Linked DNA regions of Ovis aries. The protein of the gene in region 5 binds, or shares a complex with, the protein of the main gene of each other region. Links are inferred from orthologs where the notes say so. Each region holds a gene or a part of one and is shown on either strand. Other genes may lie near its edges.

The links.
Region 1: KAT2A (region 5) and MBIP share a complex: the UniProt entries of both Homo sapiens proteins name them as parts of the ADA2A-containing complex. The link is inferred for Ovis aries from reciprocal best matches to the Homo sapiens genes KAT2A and MBIP.
Region 2: KAT2A (region 5) and YEATS2 share a complex: the UniProt entries of both Homo sapiens proteins name them as parts of the ADA2A-containing complex. The link is inferred for Ovis aries from reciprocal best matches to the Homo sapiens genes KAT2A and YEATS2.
Region 3: KAT2A (region 5) and SUPT7L share a complex: the UniProt entries of both Homo sapiens proteins name them as parts of the STAGA transcription coactivator-HAT complex. The link is inferred for Ovis aries from reciprocal best matches to the Homo sapiens genes KAT2A and SUPT7L.
Region 4: KAT2A (region 5) and DR1 share a complex: the UniProt entries of both Homo sapiens proteins name them as parts of the ADA2A-containing complex. The link is inferred for Ovis aries from reciprocal best matches to the Homo sapiens genes KAT2A and DR1.

The regions. Positions count from the first base shown.
Region 1 is NC_056071.1:44,239,268-44,245,048, reverse strand, and holds the start of MBIP (MAP3K12-binding inhibitory protein 1), read left to right. Parts: upstream 1-2,287; 5' UTR 2,288-2,323; coding exon 2,324-2,452; exon of another isoform or gene 2,453-2,952; intron 2,953-5,781. UniProt on the Homo sapiens protein: Inhibits the MAP3K12 activity to induce the activation of the JNK/SAPK pathway. Component of the ATAC complex, a complex with histone acetyltransferase activity on histones H3 and H4.
Region 2 is NC_056054.1:204,211,775-204,217,764, reverse strand, and holds the start of YEATS2 (YEATS domain-containing protein 2), read left to right. Parts: upstream 1-2,496; 5' UTR 2,497-2,682; intron 2,683-2,824; exon of another isoform or gene 2,825-2,878; intron 2,879-5,990. UniProt on the Homo sapiens protein: Chromatin reader component of the ATAC complex, a complex with histone acetyltransferase activity on histones H3 and H4. YEATS2 specifically recognizes and binds histone H3 crotonylated at 'Lys-27' (H3K27cr).
Region 3 is NC_056056.1:34,683,813-34,689,845, reverse strand, and holds the start of SUPT7L (STAGA complex 65 subunit gamma), read left to right. Parts: upstream 1-2,539; 5' UTR 2,540-2,777; intron 2,778-3,596; 5' UTR 3,597-3,697; intron 3,698-4,953; 5' UTR 4,954-5,158; coding exon 5,159-5,571; intron 5,572-6,033. Other genes in the region: SLC4A1AP (kanadaptin), read right to left, coding at 1,204-1,396, 1,598-2,257.
Region 4 is NC_056054.1:70,553,490-70,559,354, forward strand, and holds the start of DR1 (protein Dr1), read left to right. Parts: upstream 1-2,371; 5' UTR 2,372-3,102; coding exon 3,103-3,322; intron 3,323-5,865. UniProt on the Homo sapiens protein: The association of the DR1/DRAP1 heterodimer with TBP results in a functional repression of both activated and basal transcription of class II genes.
Region 5 is NC_056064.1:41,980,663-41,985,608, reverse strand, and holds part of KAT2A (histone acetyltransferase KAT2A), read left to right. Parts: intron 1-13; coding exon 14-205; intron 206-2,088; coding exon 2,089-2,195; intron 2,196-2,386; coding exon 2,387-2,497; intron 2,498-2,595; coding exon 2,596-2,735; intron 2,736-2,818; coding exon 2,819-3,027; intron 3,028-3,208; coding exon 3,209-3,335; intron 3,336-4,661; coding exon 4,662-4,772; intron 4,773-4,946. UniProt on the Homo sapiens protein: Protein lysine acyltransferase that can act as a acetyltransferase, glutaryltransferase, succinyltransferase or malonyltransferase, depending on the context.

The DNA.
Region 1 (5,781 bases), on a different chromosome or scaffold from region 5:
CTCTGGGCGACCCCATAGACGGCAGCCCCTCAGGCTCCTCTGTCCCTGGGATTCTCCAGGCAAGAATACTGGAGTGGGTTGCCATTTCCTTCTCCAGTGCATGCATGCATGCTAAGTCGCTTCAGTCGTGTCCGAGTCTGTGCGACCCTATGGACAGCAGCCCCCAGGCTCCTCTGTCCCCAGGATTCTCTAGGCAAGAATACTGGAGTGGGTTGCCATTTCCTTCTCCAAAAGAAAAAGATGAGCAGTATCTTATTAAAGATGGTATTCTTATACAAATCAAGTTCCCAAATGTGTTTCATACCAGTGTCCTGAATATTGGGGGAATAAAAGAAAGACCTCACATCTAGATGAAAACAAATGATCTGGAATTGGTTGCTAATATGTTACCAAACAGAAACTAGTTACCTCATTAGAATGATTCTCTAACAAGAGAACCAAAGGCAGAGAAAATATGCTAACATCGCAAAGAATCCTGAATTTAGGTTAAATATGAGGATGAGTGGCTTGAATGAGAAGGTTGCTTAAATTTGGGATTAGATATTGTGAGATCTTTCTATCTGACATCTCTAGACATAGGCTGGATTATAAACTGTATATCTTGCTGTGAACAGGGACCAGACAAGACTACTGAAGACCCTATCAAGCCTGATGCTCTTTGAAAATGAAAGCCTAATTAAGAGCCTCCCTAGGGAGAAGGCAGGGTTTCCCTTGTAGCTCAGTTGGTAAAGAATCTGCCTGCAGTGCAAGAGACCGGGGTTCAATCCCTGGGTTGGGAAGATCCCTTGGAGAAGGAAATGGCAACCCACTCCAGTATTCTTGGCCTGGAAAATCTCATGTACAGGGGAGCCTGGTGGGCTGCAGTTCATGGGGTCGCAAAGAGTCGGGCATGACTGAGCGATTAACACTTACTTAGGGAGAAGGCAATGGCACCCCACTGCAGTACTCTTGCCTGAAAAATCCCATGGACGGAGGAACCTGGTGGGATGCAATCCATGGGGTCGGGAAGAGTCGGACACGACTGAGCAACTTCACTTTCACTTTTCACTTTCATGCATTGGAGAAGGAAATGGCAACAGCACTTCAGTGCTCTTGCCTGTAGAATCCCAGGGACGGGGGAGCCTGGTGGGCTGCCGTCCATGGGGTCACACAGATTCGGACACGACTGAAGCGATTTAGCAGCAGCAGCAGCAGGGACAGGTCAAAGGCTTTTTAAAAACCCCTATTGCTCTTAATCCCAGTTCCTTGGTGCCTTATTCCTTTCCTTTCATTCAGACTACTCTAAAACTGAAGAATACACTTTGTGCAAGTTTCCATCTCTGCTTCTTCTAAAGGCATTAGATTATTAGAACATTAAATCCTTCCTCCCTTATCTCTATACTGACAATGTTTATTGTTCAAGCGTAACAGATTTTAACACTAAAAACTTTCTAAACTTTTTTCTTCAATTGCACAGGACAGACTTTTAATGTTAGACTTTGTAATACTACAAACTAAGCATCTTTTAACAAAGTTATCTGATAAGTAACATTTTGTCAATTTTCAATTTGGATTTGTATATTCTGATTTCAGAGATTGTGTTGCATGCGATTGCTTACTCGGGTTAAATTCCTGTTGGGATCATCTTGACAGTGTTTCCCTTTATTGAAATAGTTTTAGGATGAGTGTCTCTATCCTATTACCCAGAGAAAAACAACTGATTCATCAGTTTTAAAACTTGACAGAATTACTTTGCAGATCTAACATTCCCTTGATAATAAATGAGGCATAAACATTTTTGTTTTATATCTTCTTCCTCTAATGAAAAATTAGTGATGTTAATTTGAATATTGGTGAAAATATTCTATCCAGTTATGACAATTCTATGTGGAAAAGTTCTCAATATTTACAAACAATCGTTGGCAGCGCTGCATCCCTGACGAGCGATCTTTCTCCAGGCCACTCCACAGGGCCATGTTAAAATTTTAACTTTTAATATGGGACTAAATCACTAACATTTAACTATAAAAGTTTTCTCTAGCAATACTCATCATTAACATCTGGGTCAAGGTAGACTTCACGAAGCTAACCCTCTTTGGCTACCAATTCCAATCTCCAGTGGAAATACTGTGGCCAGCCTCACGTAGGTCGGCAATCATCCGCTCGCGGTCCTCAGCGGAACCTGATTGGGGCAGATGCTTGTCAGTCACACAGAGGGTCCTCAAAGCCTTGGTCTAAAAGAGACGCAGTGTTTTGACATCATCGCGGAGCGACAGAGGCGATGGAGGGAGGGGTGGGTTGTGAGCGCACTTTGGTGCTGGCTGGGGCAGCCTCAGAAAGTGTCATGGCTGCAGCCGCTGAGCTTAGTCGCCCTACGATCGGTGACAGGAGCCTGGAGCGGAGCTGCAGCCCCAGCCTCTCCCGAGAGATAGTCTGCGAAGTCTTCCGCTCCTTGCATAACCTGGCTGGACAAGTGAGTGATGCTCTGTGGAGTAGGGGTCTGGGAACAGGCCTGCCCCTCCTCCCATTTTCCCTTGCGCGGAGGCAGGGGCCACCGGAGGCCTGCAGGGTGTGGGAGCCGGCTGGAGCAGCAGAGGCCGGGGGAGGAGCGTGGGCCGGGTACCCTGTGGGCTGAATGAGGATGGCCGCGCGGGTTATATCCTGACCGGTGACAGGCTAGGTTTGCAGCTCTTCTCACCATGAGTGAATGAGGCTAGTGTAAGTGAAAACGCGGCTCGGTAAGAAACTGGCTTGGAGAGATTGGATACGGAAGAGCTTCTCTGATGGTTTGGGAGGCGCCTGGAGCCTCAGGATCGTTTTTCCTCCAGTTCATTCATTGTAGAAATTGATAGGTTCGTAGGGCCTGAGATTTCTGGAATAGCGCTCTCTCCGCCTCTTTAGGGTGATTTGCTCTTATGAGTCACTTGCTTTTGTTTACTTTTTTCCTTCTGGCCGTAGCTTGCATCTCTTCCCCTTTAAAACAAGGCGGAAGAGAAAAAGAATTAACCTAAACTGTTTGTAGCATAAAGTTGGCTGAGTTACCTTTGGTCAATACAGCTTGCATCACAATTTGTTTAACTCGTAATTCAACTATTTATTAGTTTAACTGGCTGGTAAATAGCTTTTGTCGAAATGTCATAATAAAATGGAGCTTAAATAAAGGTACTGCTTGCACTGAAAGCACTGTTTACTGATGTAAATGCAAAGCAAATTTTAAATGAGAAACAGCTTGAAAATATGTTTATCTGCTTTCAAAAAGAAATGTTTTAAAAAAAATCTTGGACTTAGGCGTTTGCGTTGAACATAACGGTAACTTCCTTTATGAAAATAGAGTGTTTGTGAAAATTATTTTTAAAAGCCTTGGGTAGATGGTGAATCAGTCTTTTAAAAGGTTATTTCAGTATTTAAAAAAATTTCAATGTTTGTCCTGACTTACAGAGAGCATTGGTCTTAGTTAAACATTCATTTTGGAGTAATGGGATGATTATTAATAGAGTCAGCTAAAAGTTGTAACTTTTAAACTCATTAGTTTGTCAAGGACTTAGAACTTTTATTTATGTATTTTTTAAGACTTAGGGTAATTATTTCAGTCTGAAGACTCAAGATCTGTAAATGGTTTAAAAGTTGGAGAACTTTCTATGGCGTGGACATTGGAACTTCTTTTTTTAATCCTAATATCAAGATTTAAAAAGTTTATATGCACCTAAAGTTTACAAAAGTACCCCCCCACCACTGATGAGATACTTTTTAAAAACGTTAATTTAAACCTATCTTTTGAAATAGTTTGCATACTGAATTTTTAAAACTCATTTAAAAATTTTAAACATTCTGTAGGTAAAAATAGTGCTGTGGTTAAAATTTACTTATGTCACCTGTCAAAAATATCTAGAGAGTAAATATTTGGTTAGTTTTCATGACAGAGTAAAGGGGCCATAAATAAGACTAAATAAGATTGTCAAAAAGTAAGATTATCTCATCAATTAAATGCTAGCCAATTTGGTGATACTCTTTATATTTTGAGATGTACTGTTAAAGATACTGAAAGCCAGAATACTATACTTATAAAATTGTTCCTGGTGGAAATAACTATTTCCCTTTGAAACAAGATTAAGAAATTTAAAAAAATCTATGTTGTAAAATGCCTAGTTCCTTCTATATAGTATCATTGTGTTATTAGCTCTCCTCAATAGGAAACATAGAATCAGATGTTAAAATTTTCCTAGCCCAGATTTTGAATTTATTGAATACTGATTTTGCCTCTGGTTGCTGCATTTTACCAAGCTGAAGAAATATTTATTGTTAACTTGGATTTTTATATTAGTGTAATAAAGTTTTTACTGAAATGTGTATTTTAAATAGTTCATATTAATGACAGACTAATACCTTTTTGACTGAATGGTTTACAAGTTCTATAGGTAAAAATGCACAGAATTCATATATTACTAATAGGGAATTTGTTGAATAATAGTTGGATGTATTGGGGATAGTTTTAAAGTTAATTTGTGGCATTGTTATGTGGTTTCTTCAAAGACCAAGTATCTTGCACTTGAAAGTTTATATAATTCTGCTAAATTGAAATGAGAATATAATCCAGACATTCAATTTAATTTCTATAAGTTATTTTCTAGAAAATTTGATGCTTTGCTTTGGTTGAGGATTTGCCTGCGTTATCCCCAAACTGTATTTGTAAGTTTGTTATAATCAATTATAGATTCCTTTAGAACTGTAAAAGTATAGTGATGGGTTACTTCCATGCATAAGCTGTTGAAACATTTATAAGCACTAAAAAATAGAAATTAAGATTAATATGATTTTCTTAATATAAAATAACAAACTAATTTAGTTAAAATAACAAACTAATTTTTGCCAGTGCATCCTACACAAAACTTCTTTACACTTGTCTAATATGGACTTTAAATATTTCTGGTCAAAGGGTGGTAAATTTCTGTCATACAGCATTCATACATATAGTGCCTTTTGGGGAACTTTGGATCTCTTTGGTACAGTGATTCATTTTTTTTGTTTTATTATAATCACAGTTCATAAGATCTTAACTAATAGAACACTTGTCCTTATTTTGTAGAAAACATGACTAATTTTAAATAAATGATTTCTGAAAAAATAAGAGTTAACTTGATCCTGTGATGCAGGATATATGCCATAACACACGTGTCCCTAAAAATGTTTACAGTGATTCACTTTTATTCACTTGAAATACTAAAAATGGAGGCTTTCCCTCTGAAATGTTGACTCATCTTGGTATTAATTTTATATTCAGGTTTGTGGTAGTTTTCTATGTATAACTTTATCGTAATAGGCCATACATAGCCAATTTAGGAGAAATTTTCATGAACTCTTACATTGTACTAGAAAATACTGTTTAGCAGTGAGTCTGACCTTTCCATCCAGTCTTTGGCTGTTTATTTCACTATTGTGGAAAAACATTTGTTTTTAAATTTCAGATTTCCACAGCTAAATAATAGTTTAATTTTTATTTGAAGTAAACATATGCTGCCATGTAGCTGCAGACTTTATAATATATATGAATATGAATATATGAGTTGATTTTTAAATTTAAAAAATTGGTTAAAATTGAAAACAATGAAAATGTGATTCGGAAGACATCAGAGGAATGATATATTTGTTACATATTTATGTGCATATTTAACAAAAACAAATGCAGAAATTATGAAATCAGAACTTTCATAAATGTACCTCCCCCTGTATTTAATGTTCTTAGCTAGAAGCAGTAGGATTTTGAATAGGGCAAGCATTTGTTGGCCCCTATCCAAAAGTTTTCAG
Region 2 (5,990 bases), on a different chromosome or scaffold from region 5:
CTGTAGGATATCACTTATATGTGGAATCTAAAAAACACAACAAACTAGTGAATGAAACAAGAAAGAAGTAGACTCACATACATAGAGAACAAACTAGTGGTTACCAGTGGGGAGAGGGAATGAAGAGCGGGAATACAGGCATAGAGGGAAGAAAGGATTATTATGGAATCACATGAAATCATGAGTGTGAAACATTTGAAAATTGCAAAGCACTATAGAATTTAAAGACTCTTTCATTCCATCTAAAAAAAGTACTCTGGTAAAACAACAACAAAAAAAAGCTTACCAAAGTTGTATGATCTTAAACCATCTCATTTTGGGTGAACAGTCAATTTAAAGTTACAGTCCTATCAGAACTTTCCCCTCCTCACTCTTGACATCCCAAGATGGCCTGTGGGACCAAAAGGAAGCTTTGAGGCAGTGACCAGAGGAGTCTTAGGTCTGTGCAGAGCTGTGAGCTATAGCCTAGGTCCTCACTGGCCTTCGCAGCCATGTCCCTAGTCATACCTGGTCACCAGGGCCTGGTATCAGCTGCTGAGGTTGTTGACTGTCAACTCGTAATTTGTTGCTTTAGTACCTTGAGACTCTGACGTCTCACCTTCCCATCCCTGCTCCTCTCATCAGCTGACTGGGAGCACTTCAGCTCTTGTTGGGGTTTTCAGCTTTGCCCATCCTTGGGGTCTTAGCCACATTCTCCAGCCATTACCTGCATGGTTCTCATGCTACTTTCTTCTTGCCTGGCAGAAGGCATAAGAGAAGTCTGGGTTTCCAGCACACCATCTGCAAATTGTAGACATGCAGCAGCCTGGAGAATCCCAGGGACGGGGGAGCCTGGTGGGCTGCCGTCTATGGGGTCACACGGAGTTGGACATGACTGAAGCAACTTACCTGCAGCAGCAGCACCATTTCAGATTGTTTGTTCTCCTTAACGCCACTGTCTTTTCCTAAGCCCTGATCAATTTGAGACTTCTGCCAGAACTGGGCAGCCTTCCAACCTGGGCCAGAGACAGTGGGCTTCAAGATTCCTTCACACTTAGCTGGATATTTCTAATCCCCTGCCTCAGGGTTAGATCCCCAAAGTAGGAGAATACAGATATATCCATGCTGACCACTTATCCTACCTCTTTCTCTGCGAAATTTATTTTTATCTCCCCATTCCTATTCTCTTTTTGGGTTTTAGCATAAGTCTAAGTGAGTTCTTTCCTGGCTTTTCAGATTAGATTGACTGTCAGTCTCACAAGGGCAGAAACTGTTTTGTTCATTTCTGATCCACAGTATCTAACATAGTGCTAGGCACATAGTGCCAGGACATAGAATAGAAACACACATAAAAATTGCTAAACAAATATTGCTTTCTTTTAAAAGATATTTATTTATTTGGCTGCACCAGGTCTTAGTTGTGGTACACAAACTCTTAGTTGTAGCAGGTGGGATCTAGCTCCCTGACCAGGGATGGAACCCAGGCCCCCAGCATTGGGAGTCTGGAGTCTTAGCCACTGGACCACAAGAGAAGTCTTGAACAAATATTTTTAATCTGCCATTACCCTAAATAGACATTAAGATCAGGAGGCCAACAATGACATTTTATAAATCCCTGTATTCCCTTATCATGCAGTGCTTTGGAGTAAGTTTCTGGCCCCACTATTCATTTATTCAACAAATACATTTTGACTGCATACTATGTGCAATGCACTGGGCTTGCTATTGACAATATAGGAGTAAATCCTTTAAAACGTTTTTACTAAACATCAAACACATTCAAAAAATTGATAACATGTATGTAAAGTGAAAAAAAATGTAAAGGGTAAAATTTTACCCTTTAAACCTTGGTCATTTCAATGGTAAATCTTTACCTAGTGAAGAAAACAGATTGAAGGGGGACAGAAATAGATCCCTGGAGACCAGATGTGAGGCTATAGCAGACTTGGGCAGATAGATGTGGGATTTGCTGTACCGGGGCACAGGGAGAAGGAAAAGGAAGGCTGAGCTCAAGAGATATTTAGGTGGAAAACAGTACCTGATGGACTGTTACTCACTAGTTGCATGACCTAGATAAGATCCAACCTTTCTGAGCCTTCGTTCCTGCATCTGTAAAACAGGTTAGTAATAACTATAGTTATTTGTATCCCTAACACCTAGTATAAAGCTTGGTATATGATTAAACACACGAAAATCATAGCTACTGTTTTCTTTGCTGTGGAAGCTTCATAAATGCCGGCAGAATATTTTCTTGGGGCTGCAACTTGTTACCTTCCTCTAAGGAGAAAACTATATATGATGGTGCCTTCACCAGAATAGACGCCCATTCTCCCCAGGAAGCAGGGCAGTGCAGGTCACGGTGAGAGTCTGGCACAGTCTCAGCCCCGGCCCGGCCCCGGCCCCGGCTCCGCCCACAACCTTGCGAGCTCTGTCCCCCCGCCCACAACCTCTCGAGCTCCGCCCCCGGAACCTCGCGCGTCGCCGCCGCCGCCGCGGCGCGCGCCCCGCCCCGTCCCTGGTGCTGACGTCCGGGCCAAACGGGCCGGGCGGGCTCCGCCGTGCCGTGTGCTTCCGCGGGCTCCGGGGTCGCTGGGGCCTCGTGGTGGGGCGGCTCTGCGGGGCTCGGCCCGCTTCCTCCCCTCCCCCGTGCCCTCTCGCGGCACCCGGCGGTGTCTGCGCTTCAGCCGGAGACCCAGAAAGAGGGTAAGTGTTGGCGGGAGCGAGATGGGACCGCCGGGCGCGCGCTCCGCTCTCCCGGGCATTGTCTGGGCGGGGGCGGCGCGGGCACGTGCGCGCCCCTCCCCCACCCCGCCTGAGGCGCCGGCCCCCTGGCTGAGGGGAGGGAGGGGACGAGTGACTGTGGAGCCGAGAGGCCCCGGAGGAGGAAACTGGGTCCAGGGTGAGTGTGTGTGGCTGGGGAGTCTCCGCAGCGGGAACCCGGAATTTGGGTGTGAGGGGTGTTCTTTCTAAGGGGCACCGCGCTTTCTGAGAGGATATGGGTTCCCTGGGCCCCAGTGGCGGGAGCTTTTAGGATGTTAAACCTGGTGGCCTGCAGTGGGATTGGAGACAAAATTTGGTCCCAGCACCGGCAAGTTGTGAATTTATCAGCAAGAATCCTGGAATCTCCCTTCAACCTGTCGCCTTCCCTATCGTTCGTCTCCGCCGTGAAGGATGAGTAGGATTTAGAAAGGTGGAGGATATTCCAGGAATGGTGCCCGCGTTAAAGCATCAGAGCTGTGAGACAGTGCCGGGTTGGAGTGAAAAGCTTGGGAAAATGAGTACTTGGGAAAAGAAAGGCTGGTTTGGTGGGTTGTGGCCAGATTGCAGAAGACAGGTTTATCTCATAACCTTTTTTTTTAATGAGTGTAATTATGTTAAAAAAAAAAAAGTGGAAGAAAATACTACCAGTAAATCTACAACCCTGACTTCTCATTCTTAGAATTTTGATGTTTGCTTGTATTTTCTTCTAAGCTTGTAACTGTTACTGAGTTTTAACTACCATTTTGCATTCCCTTTTTTTATTTACATGTTAAAATGCAATGTAATGTTATGTACTATTCAGCAATATAATTTACTTTCTTAATGAGCAAGGAGCAGGCATTCATAGAAAAATTTTAAAAATACGGGAAAGAAAAATGAGGAAAGGTACCATAGTTTTATTGTGTAGAGCTATTATCATTGAGTATATTTTCGGTTGTGGATGTTCTTTGAAAGATGGGAGCAGGTGAAGCTGTTCTTAGGAATTTCACTTTTATGAGAATTCTTTGAAGGTTTTAAGAAGGAAAGCATAATCTGACTGCTGTGCAGAGGAAGAGAGCAAGAGAGGAAGCTGGAAGGTTGGGTAGTTTACAGTACTTTGGACTAGGTCCATGGTTTGGAGATGGAGGAGAGTAGAAAGATTAACAGTTATTTTGGAGGTAGAATGAACAAGACTTGGAAATGAATTGGTGGGGGAAAGGGAGAACTCTGCTTTTTGATACTTGTTTTGAGCAACTTTGAGTAGATGGCAGCGTTCACTGAGAAGAATGGAAGAGAGCAGTTTGAGATGGAAGAAATCATGAGTTCTGTTTTGGGTGTATTACATTTGAAATGTATTTTAGATATGAAGTCAGTATATTGAGGCAGTTGGATGTACAGGTTTGGAGCTTCCAGAACAGAGCCTAGAGTTGGAGATAAAAATTTGAGAGTACTCAGTATATAGATGATATTCAAAGTTATGAGACCACCTGGGAGCACTTCATGGCAAATAGATGGGGAAACAGTGGCAGACTTTATTTTTTGGGGCTCCAGAATCCCTGCAGATGGTGATTGCAGCCATGAAATTAAAAGACGCTTACTCCTTGGAAGGAAATTATGACCAACCTAGACAGCATATTAAAAAGCAGAGACTACTTGGCCAACAAAGTCCGTCTGTCAAGGCTATGGTTTTTCCAGCAGTTCTGTGAGAGTTGGACTGTCAAGAAAGCTGAGTGCTGAAGAACTGATGCTTTTGAACTGTGGTGTTGGAGAAGACTCTTGAGAGTCCCTTGGACTGCAAGGAGATCCATCCAGTCCATCCTAAAGGAGATCAGTCCTGAGTGTTCATTGAAGGATTGATGTTGAAGCCGAGACTCCATTACTTTGGCCACCTGATGCGAAGAACTGACTCATTTGAAAAGACCCTGATGGTGGGAAAGATTGAAGGCGGGAGGAGAAGGGGACAACAGGATGAGACGGTTGAATGGCATCACCGACTCGCTGGACATGAGTTTGAGTAAACTCCGAGAGTTGGTGAAGGACAGGGAGGCCTGGCGTGCTGCAGTCCATCGGGTCGCAAAGAGTCAGATACGACTGAGCAACTGAACTGAGAGCACTTAGGTAAAAACTATATAGAAAAGTGAATAATAGAGTGAGACTCAGGCATTCTAATGCTTGAAGATCTTATAGAGGAAGAAGATTGAGCGCAGGACGGAAGAACAGCCAGTGAGGTAGGAGAAAAAGCAGGAAACTAGTATCATGGGAGCCATGAGAAATAGGTTTCTGGTCCACGGAGTCTTGGCTCCTCAGTGCTTCTGAGATGTTTAATGAGGTGCTCACTTGGATTTGGCAACACAGAGGTTATTAGTTTGGTCATTGGCGTTACTAACCAGACTGGAAGTTGGAGGTGGAAACATATGGAAGTAATTGAACGGGAGTGAGGAAGAGAAGACAATGAGTGTGAATTAGGAGCAAGTGTCCCTTGTTCAACATACCTTATTTTCATCTCTCCCCAAACTAAATTTGATAGTTGAAAATGGTGTTTTGTTTCATGTTTCATTCCTTTATACTAGTATGTTTGAACATTTTTCACTTTTATTGGCCATTTGTGAATTTCTGTTCCTGTCCTCTGTGCATCTTTTTATTTGTGCTTGTCACTTTCTGATTGATTTTCTGATTATCAGGAGCTCGCTAGATTCTAAATATATGTAGCCTGATGGAGAGCTTACAGAATTGTCCCCCTAATGTGTCCTCCCCCAGAATAAATGAGTTTATTATCTGTAGTCCATCAGGAAGAACATAGTTAATAATGGAAAAACCATACTTGACCATTTAACTTTTACATATACATTTTAAAAATTGTAGTAAAATACACATAACATAAAATTTACCACCATAACCATTTCTCACTGGTGTTAAATACATTCATACCATTGTGCAGCCATTACCACCATCAATCTCCACAGCTCTTTTCATCTTGTAAAACTGAAACTGTACCCACTAAACAATAACTTCTCATTTCCCCCTTACCCCCAGCCTATGGCCATTCAGCTTTCTGTCTCTGTGTTATTGACTACTCTAAATACCTCATATAAGTGGAATCAAACAGTATTTGTCTTTTTGTGACAGGTTTATTTTACTTCACATAATGTCCTGAAGGTTCGTCCATGTTGTAGCTTATGTCTGGATTTCATTCCTTTTTAAGGCTAGATAATATTCCAGTATCTGTATATTTTTTCTTATTGTTCAGTTGCTCAGTCGTGTCTGACTCTGAG
Region 3 (6,033 bases), on a different chromosome or scaffold from region 5:
ACTTACTTTTGTTCTCCATCACTATATGTATTTTAAAAGCAAGACTGCCTACCACATTCTCTATGCAAAAAAAGAAAAATCTAAACTCCTCAGTCCCGCATTCTCATTCTCTCACAGCCTGGTCTTATACATTGTCTTCAATATAATTTCCCAGTACTTATCATATCCACCAACAGACTGATCTACTCGGAACTTCCTTAAAAATCATCAATCCCTGCCCTGGACATCGTCCCAATGCTCAGTTTCCTAAGGGCTTCTTTTCCTTTCCTTCAATTCCCAGCTTAAAACCCTTCTGTTTATAAACTTATGCACTGTCCCAAAGTTCTGTCAGTGCTGCCCAACAGGCATTATAACGAAAACCATATATGCAATCTTACATTTTCCAGTAGCCGCATTAAAAACATGAGAAACAGGTGAAATTATCATGTAATCAAAAGAAAAGTATTATGAATGAGATATTTTACATTCGTTTTTCACACTAAGCCTTTGAAACCCAGTGTGTATTTTACCTTTACGGCACATGTGAGTTTGGACTAGCCACCCCGTAAGTGCCCAGTGTGGCTGATGATGACCATACTGGATGGTGCAGGTCTAGGTACTCAGGGGCTGCTCCCTTCTCTGAACCCTTAGTCCGGCATACTAGTGGTTTCCAGCTTTTGTTTGGCACTTACCACAAGTAATTTCATAACACTTATCTGTCTTCCCCACAACACAGTTAAGGTCATCCAGCTTTTCAGACTCCACTCCCAAATACCTATCCGCCAAAATGTCTGGTGTTATGGAAAATTCAATTTATGCCTCTGATTAGATATTTCACATTTCAGGGTGTTTACACAAAGTACAAAAAATTCGACAGAACTCCTGTATTAGATAATATCCCCTTTTATTTGATTGAATGTAGTTTTACTCCCTCTAGCGATAATCAGTACTTAATTAATGAAATAAACTTTAATTGTTAAACTATACGCTAAGAGTTTTTAACAAGGGAGTGCATTGTAAAACACATGAAAAGAAATCAATTAGGCCCATAATTCAGTTTTTTGGCATCAGAAAAATTAATAAATCTAAGTTTTGGTAACCTATGTGCAAACTGTATTTGCCTCATCTTTCTCAAAGAGTCATGAAAGCTGTATGATTTTTAAAAATTAACTATGCCAGTAGAAACGGATTTATTAACCTCTGGCAGCAGTTTTAATGCCTTACCCATTCCCCAGGTGCAGCCCATTTCATCGTCCTGACTACTAGTATTTCCCTTTCTTTCAGCGGTATCCATTTCTTCTTCATCTGAGTCTTCTCCCAGCATCTTCTTTTCCAACATCATTTGTTGCTGCTTGCGCAGTTCCTTCAGTTGCGTTACTGTCAACTCGGATTCTGCCTCTCGATCCTCCTCTGGTCCCTGATGAATCAAGCGAAAGAATTCTTTTAGAGTTCAGGATGGCTGAAGTCACTTTCAGAAGGCGTAAAGACGTCTGGAGATGAGGAGCCAGATTCCCGCACTTTCATAAAGGACAATCTCTTTTATCAGGGAAAACTTAAGGAGCTCAGGAACGCACCCGACTGGGCTCCAGAGATTTCAATTCTAAGGTTTTCTACTTACCTGAAGAAGAAAGAGCCGGGTGCTGCCTCCAAAGCGAAGAACATGTCCGACGTGGACCCGACAATAGGTGCGGGGTGGGATACGGGTTTTGTTGAGAAAAGTGCCATGGGTGCTTCCCAAATCGTAGAGATAGAAGCCAGGCCCGTGGCCGTCACCTTCTGCATCGAGGCCGGACACCCTGTGCTGCAGCACGGCATGGTAGCGAGACACCGAAGGATGCTCCAGGCACACGTCGCAGCTAGGGAGCCTCCCGAAAAGGCAGCAACTCAGTCCTTTCAAGTTGCGGGTGCCCAGGATGGTGCCGCCTTTTAGTGTCTCGAGGCTGTAGGGGGCCGTGGTGGGGCCGCCCCACGGCGGCTCTCGGTAAGGGGGAGCCCGGGACGGGCCGCCAGGGGAAGGAGCCGCCGTGTGGGGCCGCGGCTGCTCCTCCGCTGGACCCCTAGTCTCCCTGCTGTCTGGCAGGGCCGGCGGGACATCCGGCTCCCCGGAATCAGAGTCCGGCAGCGCCGTGGGCCTTTCCTTCACCTCCTCCGGGTTTGGAGGATTGTTGGCCGGGGCCTTACTCCGCGCCGCCGGGGACATCGGCAGGGCTGGCTTCTTGAAGTCGTCATCGAGTTCCGGCGAAGCCAGCGGCTCGGACTGAGAGGCACTATCAGCCATCCTCAATCAGGAGCAGCCTCAAAATCTGTCCCTGGGAAACCTCACCCTCCTCGGGTCTCTACATTCCTCTCCACGTCTCCCTCTCTCCAGCCTCCAGACGCTTCTCTAGCAGCGATAGTGGAGTTGATCCCTTACGACCCAGAGCTTTGTGAAGAAGCGAGTTATCCCTGGAAGTTGTAGTAAGAGGAAAACAAGAAAAAGGCGGTCGGGGTACTGTCAGAATGGGGACATCTTTAGAGGTTGCAACCGAGTCGTAATGACTTCCTGCAGCGGAGCCTGATTGAGAAGACGCGCTTCCGGCAGCCTTGAACCACTGGTCAACACACCAGCCTTCCGGACCTGATAGGACCCTTATCTCAGGCCTCTCGGAGCCCATCAGCCGCCCAGTTCAGTGCCTGCGAAGTGGCAGTCCATAGTGGAGCCTCCTTGCCTCGGTCCAGGTCCACATCTCCCTGTGTGTGGGCTGCCCCAGCCTTAGACGACCCCAGGACACTGTGATTGGCGCCCGAGTCCGCTGATGGTGAGGGAGGAGCCCTGATGGGGATGTGGGCATTGCTTGTGCTTGATGCCTGTCCTTCCTGCTCCTTTGGGTCAAGTTAGTGGAGAGGGCGATTTTTGTTGTCACTTGGTTCATTCATGTATTCTTTCCTTCTTTTATTCTTTCTGAAACCAGTTGAGGTAGCGTAGTGTAGTTGTTAAGAGTGCAGACCCTGGATCCAGACCATCTCGATCTTCCCTCTCAGCTGTTTCCGACATTAGGCAAGACAGAAGGCCTCAGCTTCCACGTCTGAAAAGTGGGGTAATAATAGTATCTACCTCTTTTTTTTTTTTTTATGACATCTACTTATAGAAAGGTTGGGAGAATTGAATTAACAGTAGAGGCAAAGCCTGGCATGTAGTAGGCACTCAAATCTTAGACACCAAGATTGCAGCTGTGAGAGACAGATGGAAGAATAAAATTGAAACAAGTACTAGTTTAAATACAGGGATAAATGCTGTGATGGAGACATACAAAGTGCTGTGAGACTTAACAAGGGGAGATGTGTTGGGGAGGTGATAGAGGGTGGTGACTTAAATCATGCTTAAGGATGAATACAAGTCTGCCAGGGATGTGGCAGGTAGCAAGGCATTACCTGCAGAGATCACGTCATTAAGCTGTGGAAATGCATGGCATTCGCAACCAGAGAAGTCTGATACGGTTGGAACTAAGATGGTCACTTTCTTCAGGAAGTTCCTCCTTTGTGTTTTCTCACCGAACTTGGTCTGTGTCTCTGGAACAGCACTGACCACACACTTTAATGTTGAAACATTCTTTTCGTGTTTTTCTCCCTCACCTCAGGGTAAGGACCTTGAATTAGTCTTTATCTCCTCACATGACACTTGGCATTTGATAAATATTTATTGAATTTGAAGAGACATATGGCCAATAAGTCTGGAAAGGTGAGTTGAAGCTGGATTGTAATTGGTGTTGAATGGTAAATCAAAAAACATTGACGTTTTTCCAGTAGTCAATGGGAAGTCATTAGGTCTAAGCTTAAAATATTAAATCTAGCCTCACTACAGGCTTCCCTGGTAGCTCAGCTGTGGTAAAGAATCTGCCTGCAGTGCAGGAGACAAGGGTTCGATTCCTGGGTTGGGAAGATCCCCTGGCCAAGGGATAGGGTACTCCAGTATTCTTGAGCTTCCCTAGTGGCTCAGTTGGTAAAGAATTTGCCTGCAGTGTGGGAGACCTGGGTTCAATCCCTGGGTTGGGAAGATCCCGTGGAGGAGGGCATAGCAACCCACTCCAGTATTGTTGCCTGGAAAATCCCAAGGACAGAGGAGCCTGGCAGGCTGCAGTCCATGGGGTCACAAACAATTGGACATGACTGAGCAATTAAGCACAGCACAGCATCACTGTAGAGAGTAGATTTGATACAAGGAGAGACTAAAGGAAGGGGTATTATTTAAGAGATAGCAGATATCTGAGATTCTTCCCTATGAACGTCAGAAGTTGAATGCATAAGGCCATTTAGGATAGTGGTTCATAAAATTTTCCACCAGGATTAGTTAAAGGTTCCCATGCTTGGCACATATGCATGCATGCTACGTCACTTCAGTAGTGTCTGACTCTTTGAGACCCTTTGGACTCTAGCCCCTCAGTTTCTTCTGTCCATGGGATTCTTCAGGCAAGAATACTGGAGTGGGTTGCCATTTCCTTCTCCAGGGGATCTTCCTGACCCAGGAATTGAGCCCATGTCTCCTACTCCTGCATTGGCAGGCAGTTTCTTTACCACTAGTCCACCTGGGAAGCATTCACAGATTAGTAACCACATCAGGAATTCCCTGGCAGTCCAGTGGTTAGGACTTGGCACTAAGATCCCACAGGCTACACGGCACAGCGGAAAAAAAAAAAGAAGAAGAACCTTTTCCTATCTTTAACTCTACTCCTTTTTCTCCTGTGGATCCAGGAAAGATGTGTCAAGATACTCTGAGAAATATTCCAGGTCTCATTTAAGTGTCTTGCCTTGCAAATCACTCAGGATTGGTAATAAGTTAGTGGGGTGAGTTGGAAAATATGGACCCCGTAGCCTAATATACTCTTGCAGCTATTAGTCTACTAAAGACCCAAACTCTACCTTGTGGTTCAGTCCAGTAGGAATTGTCACAGTGTATGACTGTGGTATTAACAGTTATATTTCTCTTAATTTCTTCAGGAAGAACGTCCTTGGTCCAACAGTGTTGCTGACACTGACTTTTTCTAAGTGGTCTTGAACTGCCTAGTTTTTATGTCAATACCTGGCTAGACCTCGTATTCCTCACTACAGAAGCCCTTAACCTGCAGTTGCTGGAGATTTTAAAACGTTGCCTTTAGGATACCATCCACATTTAACTTGGGAGCTCTTCCTTTGTGATTCCAAAATGTTGAGATACTGGGGAGAGATACCAATCTCATCAAGCCAGACCAACAGAAGTTCTTTTGACTTGCTCCCTCGGGAGTTCCGACTGGTAGAAGTCCATGACCCGCCTCTGCACCAACCCTCAGCCAACAAGCCCAAGCCCCCCACTATGCTGGACATCCCCTCAGAGCCCTGCAGCCTCACCATCCACACCATTCAGCTGATCCAGCACAACCGACGTCTGCGTAACCTCATTGCCACAGCACAGGCCCAGAATCAGCAACAGACAGAAGGTGTAAAGACTGAAGAGAGTGAACCTCTTCCGTCCTGCCCTGGGTCACCTCCTCTTCCTGATGATCTCCTTCCTTTAGATTGTAAGAATCCCAGTGCACCGTTCCAGGTCCGGCACAGTGACCCAGAGAGTGACTTTTATCGGTAAGACAAGGCTTTGCTATATGTTACTTTTCTCTAAAAATCTTCCCAACAACCTTGTTAAGCATGTCACCACTTTTCCAGGAGGAAACTGAAGATGAGAGTAAATGACTGGGCCAAAGTTGCTCAGGTAATTAGTGGAAAGTCTGAAGAGTTGAACCATGTTCTTCCAAATCCAGAGTCTGTATTTTTTTATTTTCTGATGTAACAAATATTTATTGAGTACCTAATATATGCCAAGCACTTTACTAGGAGCAAAGTTCTACACTGGTTTGTAAAATAGGCCATGGTCTCATAGTCCTCCAAATCTAGTTTTTCTTGTTAATTAAAAGATATACTGTGGGTTTAGCTCATTGTCCTCAAGATGAGATTTATGGACTTATTCTCTTACCATTAGAAATCCACGAGTTCTATACAAGAATTTTTAAATGGTGTATTTTCATTTTGATAACACAGTTCAAGAAG
Region 4 (5,865 bases), on a different chromosome or scaffold from region 5:
ATATCTAATCCTGATCATTCTATTTGGACCTTTCAATCTCATCCACCTCCATTTCCTTAAAGTCTTACCTTGCTTGTATTGTCAATCTACACCTCTTTTCCTTTGAACTACATGTATGTGTCTCTGAGCCTTTGCAATTTTTTCTTGACCCTGCTTCTTCCTCAAGTGTCATTCCATTGTCCCTTTCCCTTCACCACCCAGATTTTGGAAAGTGTGTTCTGTGCTCCTTGCTCTTTTCTGCATTTCTGTCCTAAACTGTTTTCATGTTGACTTCTGCTTTCTCATATTGACCTTTTACTTCAGTGACTGTTTGATCCCCTTCCAACAATGCTTCTCTGTGGCATCTCACACCCTTCCAACTTGAGCCTGCACACCTAGAGAAACCAACAAGAAAAACCACCACAATGATAAACCCCACACACAGCAACTAGAGTAGCCCCCACTCTGGGCAACTAAAGAAAGCCCACCAGCAACAAAGACCCAAGGCTGCCAAAAATAAAGAGCACAGTAACCTACTCCAGTATTCTTGCCTGGAGAATCCCAAAGACAGAGGAGACTGGCAGGTAGCAGTCCATAGGGTTGCAGAGTCGGACTTGACTGAAGTGGCTTAGCACACGTGTGCACACATGAACAAAAAAATTCCCCTCATGGCTTCCTTTGCACTATACCTTCTTGGTTTCTAACAAGTATCCCCTGACATACTTTCTTCTTTTTGTCTTTGGACTTCTTTTTTACTCTGCTATCCTTAAAGGTCCTCATTCACCTCCAGAGTTAACAAATATTTGCTTATTATGTAGCAGGATCTGTGCAGGCCCCAGGGATACAGGGATGAACAAACCAGAAGCTCACTGCATCTGTAGTACTTCCTTTTCTAATTTTTTAAAATTATTATTTATTTTTGGCTATGTTGGGTCTTCCAGGGAGTGGACTTTCTCTAGTTGTGGTGGTGGTGGGGGGTATTCTTCATTGAAAGCTGGACCCTTTAGAGTTGGAAGAACAAAAATTGGATTTCCAGAAGAATATTATGAAGTTATGTAGGAAACAAACAAGCATGTAGAAAGGAAACAAGATATATATATAGGAAGGAAATTCTTTCATAGAGGCCTACATCTGAGCCAACAGTTTCACATTCCTATTTTGAAGAAAAAGTTTAAAATATCATTTTATCAAAGACATTTTATTTTGACTAAACTTAATAATGCTAAGAAACAAATGTCTACACTGTAGAAATTAAAGAACCTGCAAGTATACTAGAGAAAATGCTAAATGGAAAAAAAAAAAAAAAAAAAACAAGAAGTATGATTTCCTCAAGATGTGACATCTAGGGTCGTACACCAAAATACAAAACTTTTAAGAAAACACTTCAAACAAGCCAGTTGCTGCCAGTGTACAACTGTATATGATTAACTAAAGTGCCTAAACTGATTTAAATTTTATCTCTTTTACTTTTGAGAAATTGCAACACTCTATTTATAACAGCCTCTTCTTCAAAAAGACGTTATGGCAAATTACTTTTTAAAAAATGCAATTTTTGTAAAGAACTTGCCACACGTTTGCTTCCCGGGAAAGAAGAGAAAATCAGTTTCTTAACATACTTTAACCCACTTTCCCCTACCTTATCAGAACCAATACATCACGGAAAACGTCTAAGTGGGAATCTTGTAATTTGGCTCATTGTACACTACGCCTCTCCACTACTCTGGATCTTATTTTTAGTTTCCAGCTTAGCTGTTAATTAGTAGTGGCTGTCACTTCTCTGTTTCATTCCCATAAACCCAGAAAAAGGGGTGGAGGACCATAGAGATCTTTGGTCCGAATAAAGTCTATTAGATATCATCAACAACTTTTTCCTCAGGACGATGCAGACCCAGGAAAACGGAGTTTTCCTTTCCCCACATCCCATTCCCGAGCCTGGACTTCGTCCTTCTTCCTTTCAATCTCAATTCGGGCTCCTCGCAAATGAACTGAACTGAACTGAACGTTAGCAAAGCAAGTTCTTTGAACGAAATCCAGCGCTCCGCTCCTTTGTCTCCAAACGTGGCTAAGCAGGCCTCAGCTGGCTGAGAGAAGGTAGTAGCAGCGATCCACCCTAGCCAGTACACCCACCCATCACAACCCGCCTCTGGTGCCGAAGCCCTGGCGCGTGCTCGGGTGTCTTCGGTACCGCGAGGCGCGCGCTCGCCCGGTCACTATCCCTGGGAAGGGGCGGGACCCCAGAGCGCGTGCCGGGACTGCGGCAGGCGGAAGCTGCTGGCGGAGAAGACGGGCGGTTCCCGCCGACAAGGGTGGGGGAAGGGCGGCTGCCACACCCGGAAGTTGGTCTGGAAGTGGGGTTGGGGGGGTAACGTGTGGGGGCGAGGCTTCCGGTAGCGCAAAGGGTATCGGGAGAGGCTTCCTGTAAAGCTTCGCTGGCTTCTGGAGGGACCACCGTTGCGGCGGCTTCGGCTTCCACGATCTGCGTTCGGGCTAAACGGTCACAGCAGACGCCGCTGCCGGTCTCCTTGTGCCTGGTTCTGTCCGTATTCGTTCCCAGGAGACCGCCTCGGTTCCGGCAGCGGCTGCGGCCGACATGTTGTGAGGCGGCGGCGCGGGTGTCTGAAGGATGGTTTGGCAGAGGCGGCGGCATCGGCTGCTGGCGGCGGCGGCGGCGGCGGCAGCAGCGGGGGCTCCGGTTCTGTAGAGCCTTGCCCGCTGAGTGTCCGCCCTGTTCCGCGGCCAGACCAGTGCCCCCGGACCTTGCCTCTGCTCCGCGCCGTTGGGGAACGGTTAGACGACAGCGCACGCCCCTCTGAGGAGACACGAAGGGGGTTTTCTAGTGCTCAGATTCCGGACCACCTTGCCTTCCCCTCTCCGACCTGGGCAGTGCTGTCCCCAAAATCCTCAACACCCCCCTATCCTCCAACTTTGCTCCCAATCTCGCCTTAAATCTTTCACACACACGGGTGTTCCCCTCTCTCTCCAGCCACCCCTGGCCCCTTAATTTTCTGCACGCTCATCTCAGAGGGACTCCTGGATCGCTCTCCGAGGGCGGCCTTTTGAAAAATCGTCGTGGACCAGAGTTAAAGGAGTTTTTAAAAGTCGGGGCGCGAGAGAGAAGGTGCGATGGCTTCCTCATCTGGCAACGATGATGATCTCACTATACCCAGAGCTGCTATCAATAAGATGATCAAAGAGACTCTCCCCAATGTCCGGGTGGCCAACGATGCCCGGGAGCTGGTGGTGAACTGCTGCACTGAATTCATTCACCTTATATCTTCTGAAGCCAATGAGATTTGCAACAAATCGGAAAAGAAAACCATCTCGCCAGAGCACGTCATACAAGGTAAGTGGTATTTGTGGGATTTTGTTTCAAAGAGGGGCCGGGGACATCCTGCTGGTCGCGTGACGCGTTCATGTCAAAGCCTTCAGTTCTGTCTCCTGGTTAGTATTGGTAACTGAAAAGCCATTGCGGGCAAGGAGGCAGCCGGTGCCTTCAGACCTCTGTGTAGTATTCTCGTGGTCCTTTCCAAATACCAAATGCAGGTGAGAGTTGCAGGCGATTAAGTCGGCTAACATCCCCCCGAAGAAAGTAGTAGTAGCGGTCTCAGCCTACAGCCAGGTAAACCTAAGCAACAAGAACTTTGCCTGCCTAAATTGAAACCTGGATCATGACAACTGAGAGAGGAAGCCAGAAGTTCTTGGAGAATTAGAATTCAGACAGGAAGTTCAAGCTTGAGTGGAGAGGGCACCCCTTTCCCACCCGACCTTTTTCACCAGTGTAGGAGACAAGATCAATTTACAGAACACGAGTAAAAATATTCTTAACGTAAATGTTCACAATTGTAAAGTTTATTAGTGTTGACTGGAGTATATTTTCTGCTTTAAAAATGGTTTCATGGTCCCTACCGTTCATCAACAAGTTGCCAAAGCACTCCAGTTCTATTCTGTAGGAAAGAAGCAGTCAGTGTTCTTTATCCTTCCTTCCTTTCTTCCTTCCATAGCTTGCATTGTGCCTTAGAGGTAGGTTTTTAAAGCTTGGGTTTAAAGACTGTGAGATTTTTTTTTTTCGTGGAACATTTCCCTTTTGTTTCCTTCTGTCGTCCCCTTTTAGATGTATACGCTTAAGCGTTTATTGAACACTTCTGAAAGTTTAACAGTTTCTCCTCTTGTATCTTGGAAAGGATTTAGTTCAGTTAATAGGGCTTTGGGGGACCATATTCTGATGGTTTGTTTCAGGAATGGGGAGACATTTACTAGTCATAATGTTTTGGGAAGCACTTTCTGTGACTGGTACATATAATCTTAGGGGAAGGTTGTGGTCAATTTTGAAGTGATAACTTGCCTTTTATAATAACCCAATTAAAATTCTAACAATTTCTGGATCGCTTTTGAAGTCAGAAAAAAAGATTAATTTTAATTTAATTTTGGTAGGCAGGCAGTTATCTACCATTTTATTGTTATAATTTAACTTTTTAAAAGGTGACTTTCCTGTTATACTGAAGTAGAGGACACATCTTCTCATATTCACCATATACAGTATTTTACAGGAATTATTGACAGAAGTATTTTGTCATTTCATTTTTGAAATGACTTCTGTAATTTCATTTTTGATTCTTATTGATACATAAAACATACTTTGACATTTCCATTTCAGTACATAAGGAGAAAAAGAAACCCCAAGGAAAAGGTATATTTGACTTTAAAGCTAGTCTTTTACTTGTTTAGAGTACTCTGGCAAGTAAAATGAAAGCCAAGTTGTCTATTTTTCCTCTTGTGTTTTTATTTTTACATTATATGTGCAGTTGTCACAAATCTTTCACAAGATTGTCCAACACAAATAGCTGTAATTTCCTTTTATAATTCATAAAAGAGAAAACAGATCTTTTATCAACATTGCCTTTCTAATGAAAATTGCAAAAGATTTCAAAAGGATCTGCTTAAACATTTGTTTACACCACGGAAGTGGGGATCTTTCCAAAAATCTAATAATGCCTTACAGTCTGTCTTCTTGGGTAGAGTTTATTCTTTTCTAGGATATATTTAGATTTCTGATTGACGTGATGGAAGAAAAGTACAGCTGTAGCTAGCAGTATGCTAGTTAAATAGCTCAACTTCGGAATATGCTAAATTCAGTTTAATGTATGAGTCAGAAAGTTCCAGTGAAAGCATTTTCCTTATGTACTGAGGATGATTTATTAATTAAAAAAAATAATGTATTGACCTGTTAGAGCTTTATAAAGTTACTTTTGTTTTCTTGTAATATTGCTGTTCTTAAGTGTTAGATAAGGATGTACATTTTAACCCCAAATTCTCCCGTTAGAGGGATAGACTTTATATATTTATAATCTCATATTGCTTAATCATTTAAAGAAATTTTTATCTTGAGTGATTAAAATTCTTTAAAAGAAATTCTTAAGGTGTGTATTTTTTTAGGTGTTTAAAGTGTAATTTTATAGACTGATTCTGGAAAGCTGATTATGACATTTTTTAATGCTGTTTTGTCAATTTGATTATTTAGGAATGTAAGATACATCCAAGTGGAATAATGTACATTTTAAAGTGATTTGATTCTCACATATTTAAGTTTGGATTTTTTTAGTAATAAGTTTAATGAACTAGACTTTGCTTCAGGACATTTCACTTGCCACTTTGCTTTGCCTTCTCAGAGCAAATTTTGAGGCAGTTTTGTAAAATGCAAGCTAAAGTTGAACAAATTTTATTGCCAGTAAATCTGAAATTGTATAACCTAGTTAAAATTTTTAAAAAATTTAATACAGATATTTTGCTTGAGTTTAAGAACATGGACTTGGCATGGAAGATAACATACACACAAATAGAGGGAGTTCTACACTTAAAAGATGTTTTTATTTTGTTTCTGGGTTTCTG
Region 5 (4,946 bases):
CCTGCTCTTGCAGATGGCTCTGCTACTGCCACGTGCCCCAGAGCTGCGATAGCCTCCCCCGGTATGAGACCACTCACGTCTTCGGGCGCAGCCTTCTCCGCTCCATCTTCACGGTTACCCGGCGACAGCTGCTAGAGAAGTTCCGAGTAGAGAAGGACAAGCTGGTGCCCGAGAAGAGGACCCTCATCCTCACCCACTTCCCCAAGTAAGGCTCGTTCTGGCCCATCAGGACCTTGTACCACGCTCACATCCTCCCTCTTGTCCCCTTTTTCCAGGAAGGCTTCCTGGATTGGTCCCTCTTCTCCCTCCATGAACCTTCTGGGATCTGGACCTCTACCTGGGAGGCTTGCCCAAGGCCCAAGTGTAATTCACTAGCTCTTTGCCTGTCTGTATACTAGTGGGATGGCAGGTATATGGCCTGAGTGCTAGTGCTGCCCCTGCCCACCCACCTGGTAGACATGACTGCCTGTTTCCCGTGGGGCATGGACATAGCTCAGAATCCGTCTCACCACAGCATTCCAAGAGTACAGAGCTTACACTTGAAGAGAAGCCAATTTCCACCCCTGTTCTAGTCCTTCTGTAAGATTTTTCTCTGTTTTGCCACACTGTCTTTTCATTTTAAACGTGGTTCATAGGTATCCACAGATTTCCAAGTGGTGCAGTGGTAAAGAATCCACCTGCCAGTGCAGGAGATATAAGAGATGGGTTTCGATCCCTGGGTCAGGAAGATTCCCTGGAGGAGGGCATGGCAACCCACTCCAGTATTCCTGCCTGGAAAATTCCACGAACAGAGAAGCCTGGCAGGCTACAGTGTATGGGGTTGCACAGCGTCGGACTCGATGGAGCAACACACACAACCCACATACACACACACATCACATCACACACATACACACCACACCACACATACATACCCACCCCACACATACCCACCCCACATACACACCATACCAGACACACACCCCATATACACCACACCACACACACATACCCACCCCACACACACACCACACCACCCCACACACACCCCCACCCCACACATACACCCCCCACATACACACCACACCACACACACACACCCACACCACACCCACATACACACATACCCACCACACACACACACCACACCACACCACACCCACCACACACCACACACACCCCCACCCCACACATACACCCCCACATACACACCACACCACACATACACCCCCACACCACACCCACATACACACACACCTCACACACACACCCACACCACACATACACACCCCACACCCCCCACATCACACACCCCCCCCACACACACCACACCACACATACCCCACACATACACACCACACATACACACCACACACACCCACACACACACACGCCCCCACACACATCCCACACCGCACCACAGACACACACCCACGCCCCCCACACATACCCCACATACACACCACACCCACACACACACACCCCACATACACACACACCCCACATACACACCACACCCACACACACCACACCCACACACCCACCCCACACATAGACACCCCACATACACACCACACCACAGACACCCTATACACATACCACACCCACATAAACACACACCCCACACACACACCACACCACACACACCCCACACATACACACCCCACACATACCCCACACCACACACACACACCACACCACACCCACACACCACACCACACCCACATACACCACACACACACACTCTCTCTCCTGACTGATCCAGACCCTCCTATGCTCCTCCAGCCACCAGGTGGGAGCAAGAGGTAGCAGGAGAGGGTGGAGTCCCATTTCGATACTGAGGCCCAGGGTGACTGGGTGCCCTGCCTGGTGCGCAGCACAGGATGGCATCATTTCAGGCCTTGTCCCCCTGCACTCCTCACCCTGGCATACTGGGCCTCTGATCTCTTCTGAATCATCCTGTCCTCCTATCTTCAGAGAGGGGCTCCCAGAGCACAGAGGCCATCTTTGTCTCCCAGGTCCCTGGGCGGCCTCCAGTCCCTGTGTCTGGCCCAGGCTGCTCCCTGTCGGAGAACAGAGTTGTGGGACAGGTTGTACCCTTCCCCACAGATTCCTGTCCATGCTAGAGGAGGAGATCTATGGGGCAAACTCTCCGATCTGGGAGTCAGGCTTCACCATGCCGCCCTCAGAGGGAACACAACTGGTGCCCCGGCCAGGTACGTGCGCAGCAGGCTGTCTGCTTGGCCTTCCTGGCTGAGCTCAGCGCCTCTGGGGGAGGAGGGGCTGCGACTGGTAGCAGGGGGGAAGTGCAGGAGGGCTCGACAGGAGTGGGAGAGCCAGGCTATCTTTGCGGGACACACCCTACCTTTGAGTTCCATCCCGATTGTTTCCTCTTTCGCTCTCTCAGCTACAGTCAGCGCTGCAGTTGTTCCCAGTGCCCCCATCTTCAGCCCCACCATGGGTGGGAGCAGCAACAGCTCCTTGAGCCTGGATTCTGGAGGCGCTGAGCCCATGCCAGGTGGGTACTTGACCCCTGACCTCCACCCCTCGTTTCCCCCACCCAGCCCTGGCCCGGTCTCTCTTGCTGTGCCTGGGAGACCTTGCCAACCCCCTCAGCAGGCGAGAAGAGGAAGCTCCCAGAGAACCTGACCCTGGAGGATGCCAAGCGGCTCCGTGTGATGGGTGACATCCCCATGGAGCTGGTTAATGAGGTCATGCTCACCATCACCGACCCCGCCGCCATGCTAGGGCCCGAGGTGGGCAGCCCAGCCTCCCAACCCATTGGGCGGGGGCTCACCCCCGCAGACCCTGGCTCATCACTCCCTGCTCTGGTTCCCAGACGAGCCTGCTGTCGGCCAACGCCGCCCGGGATGAGACTGCTCGCCTGGAAGAGCGCCGAGGCATCATTGAGTTCCACGTCATTGGCAACTCGCTCACACCCAAGGCCAATCGGCGGGTGTTGCTGTGGCTGGTGGGGCTACAGAACGTCTTCTCCCACCAGCTGCCGCGAATGCCCAAGGAGTACATTGCCCGCCTCGTCTTCGACCCGTAGGTCCCTGGGAGAGCCCAGGACACCCCCCACTGCTCCCTGGGCCTCTTCCTCCATCCCTGGGGAATTCTTGCTCCTTAGTTCCCAGCACTGTGTGCAGCTCAGGCCTCCGGGGTGGTGGGTTCCTGAGGAACATTCAGGGGACGGGTAAGGCCTGTGACCTGAGCTCTCTCCCCTCAGGAAGCACAAGACTCTGGCCTTGATCAAGGATGGGCGGGTCATTGGTGGGATTTGCTTCCGCATGTTTCCCACCCAGGGCTTCACGGAGATCGTCTTCTGTGCTGTCACCTCCAATGAGCAGGTCAAGGTGAGTCTGTGCTCGCCCCCAGTGTGGGTAGAGGTCAGGGAGCTCCTGGTCCCAGCTTCATCCCACCCCCTGCTTCCGAGTCTGGACCAGGTCAGAGCAGCACAGTAGTGACACAGCTGCCCCCAAGCCTTCTTTTAATGGCCCGACACTTCCTCACATCCCCACAAGGTGGCAGTTGTAATTTGATAACTGAATTAAGAAAACACCTGTCGACACAGGGTGCCCAAGAATCAGTAACACTTGTTTTCCGCTAGTTTTATGGAGATGCAACTGACATGTAGGACTGTGTAAGTTTAGGATGTACAGCCTGACGCTTCGACTTATATACATCATGAAACAACCACAGCGAACATCTATCATCTTATATAGGTACAAAATGAAAGGAGCAGAGAAAAAATGCTTTTTCCTTTGTGATGAGAACTCTGCAGATTTATAGTAACAGTTTTAAAGGGATCTGTGTTTCCTTCATCACAAGAGCATGTACATGCATCGGAGAGTTGATAATTTTTACAACAGTCCCGCTCTGGGTGGTCGTCCTGTCTTCTATCCTGTCACAACAGGCCGACTAGTAGGGTCCCCGGTTTGTCTTATCTGTTTTTTAAAATGGTGTGGCTACTTTATTTTTTATTTTTATTTTTTGGCTGCACTGTGAGGCTTGCCAGGTCTTAGTTCCCCAACTAGAATCAAACCCACACCCTTGGCAGTGAAAGCAAGGTATCCTAACCACTGGACCACCAGAAGATTCCATGATTGTCCCATTTTCCATAACTCAGATCTGCGTGGTGCCTCCGGTCCTAATGTTTGTGGATGACAGGGTGTCTCTTTGGGGTTCAGATGTCATGATGAGGGGGGCCCTTGTGATCCCCTCTCCCCTTTCCTCCAGTTCTGAGGCCCAGGGACTGGGAACCGTGGCCTGTGGACCACAGCTTCCCGGTTGGGTTTAGATCCAGGCTCTCCCTGCCATGGCTGGTCACCTGACCTGGACATATTTCCTGACATAGCTGAGTTTCAGTTTTTTCTTCTGTAAGATGGAGGTAATGATAGCTGTTTCATGGGTTAACTTGAGGATTGCTCTGTAAAGAACCAAGCGTCGCACCTGGCCTGGAGTAAGCGCTTAGAAACCCAGCATCCTTCGCTTTTCTGCCTATAAGCTCCCCTTCCTCTGCCGGTCGCCTTTCCTCCTGCCTGACTCGGATCCCCTGGCTGTCCCCACCTCCTTTCCAGTCGGCTCCGTCCTGTCCCCGCCCTCCTCTCCCCCCCTCCTGAGGCCGCTCTAGCTGTAGGCCCGCCTCCTCCCGCCTGATGAGCTCTGCCCCTCCCCTGCAGGGCTACGGCACTCACCTGATGAACCACCTGAAGGAGTATCACATCAAGCACAGCATCCTCTACTTCCTCACCTACGCCGACGAGTACGCCATCGGCTACTTCAAGAAGCAGGTGACTCTCACCTCTGTCTGCCCACTGACTGGGGCCCGGGGTCATTCTGTCTCGCCCCCGGTGCGGGTGGGCTTCATGTCCCCTGTTCCATCCAGCACCTGTAGGGAAGTCCTTCATGCCTGTCTTCCTCCCTCCTGCTGCTGCCCCAGGGAAGAGGCAGCTGGGAGAGCTGGG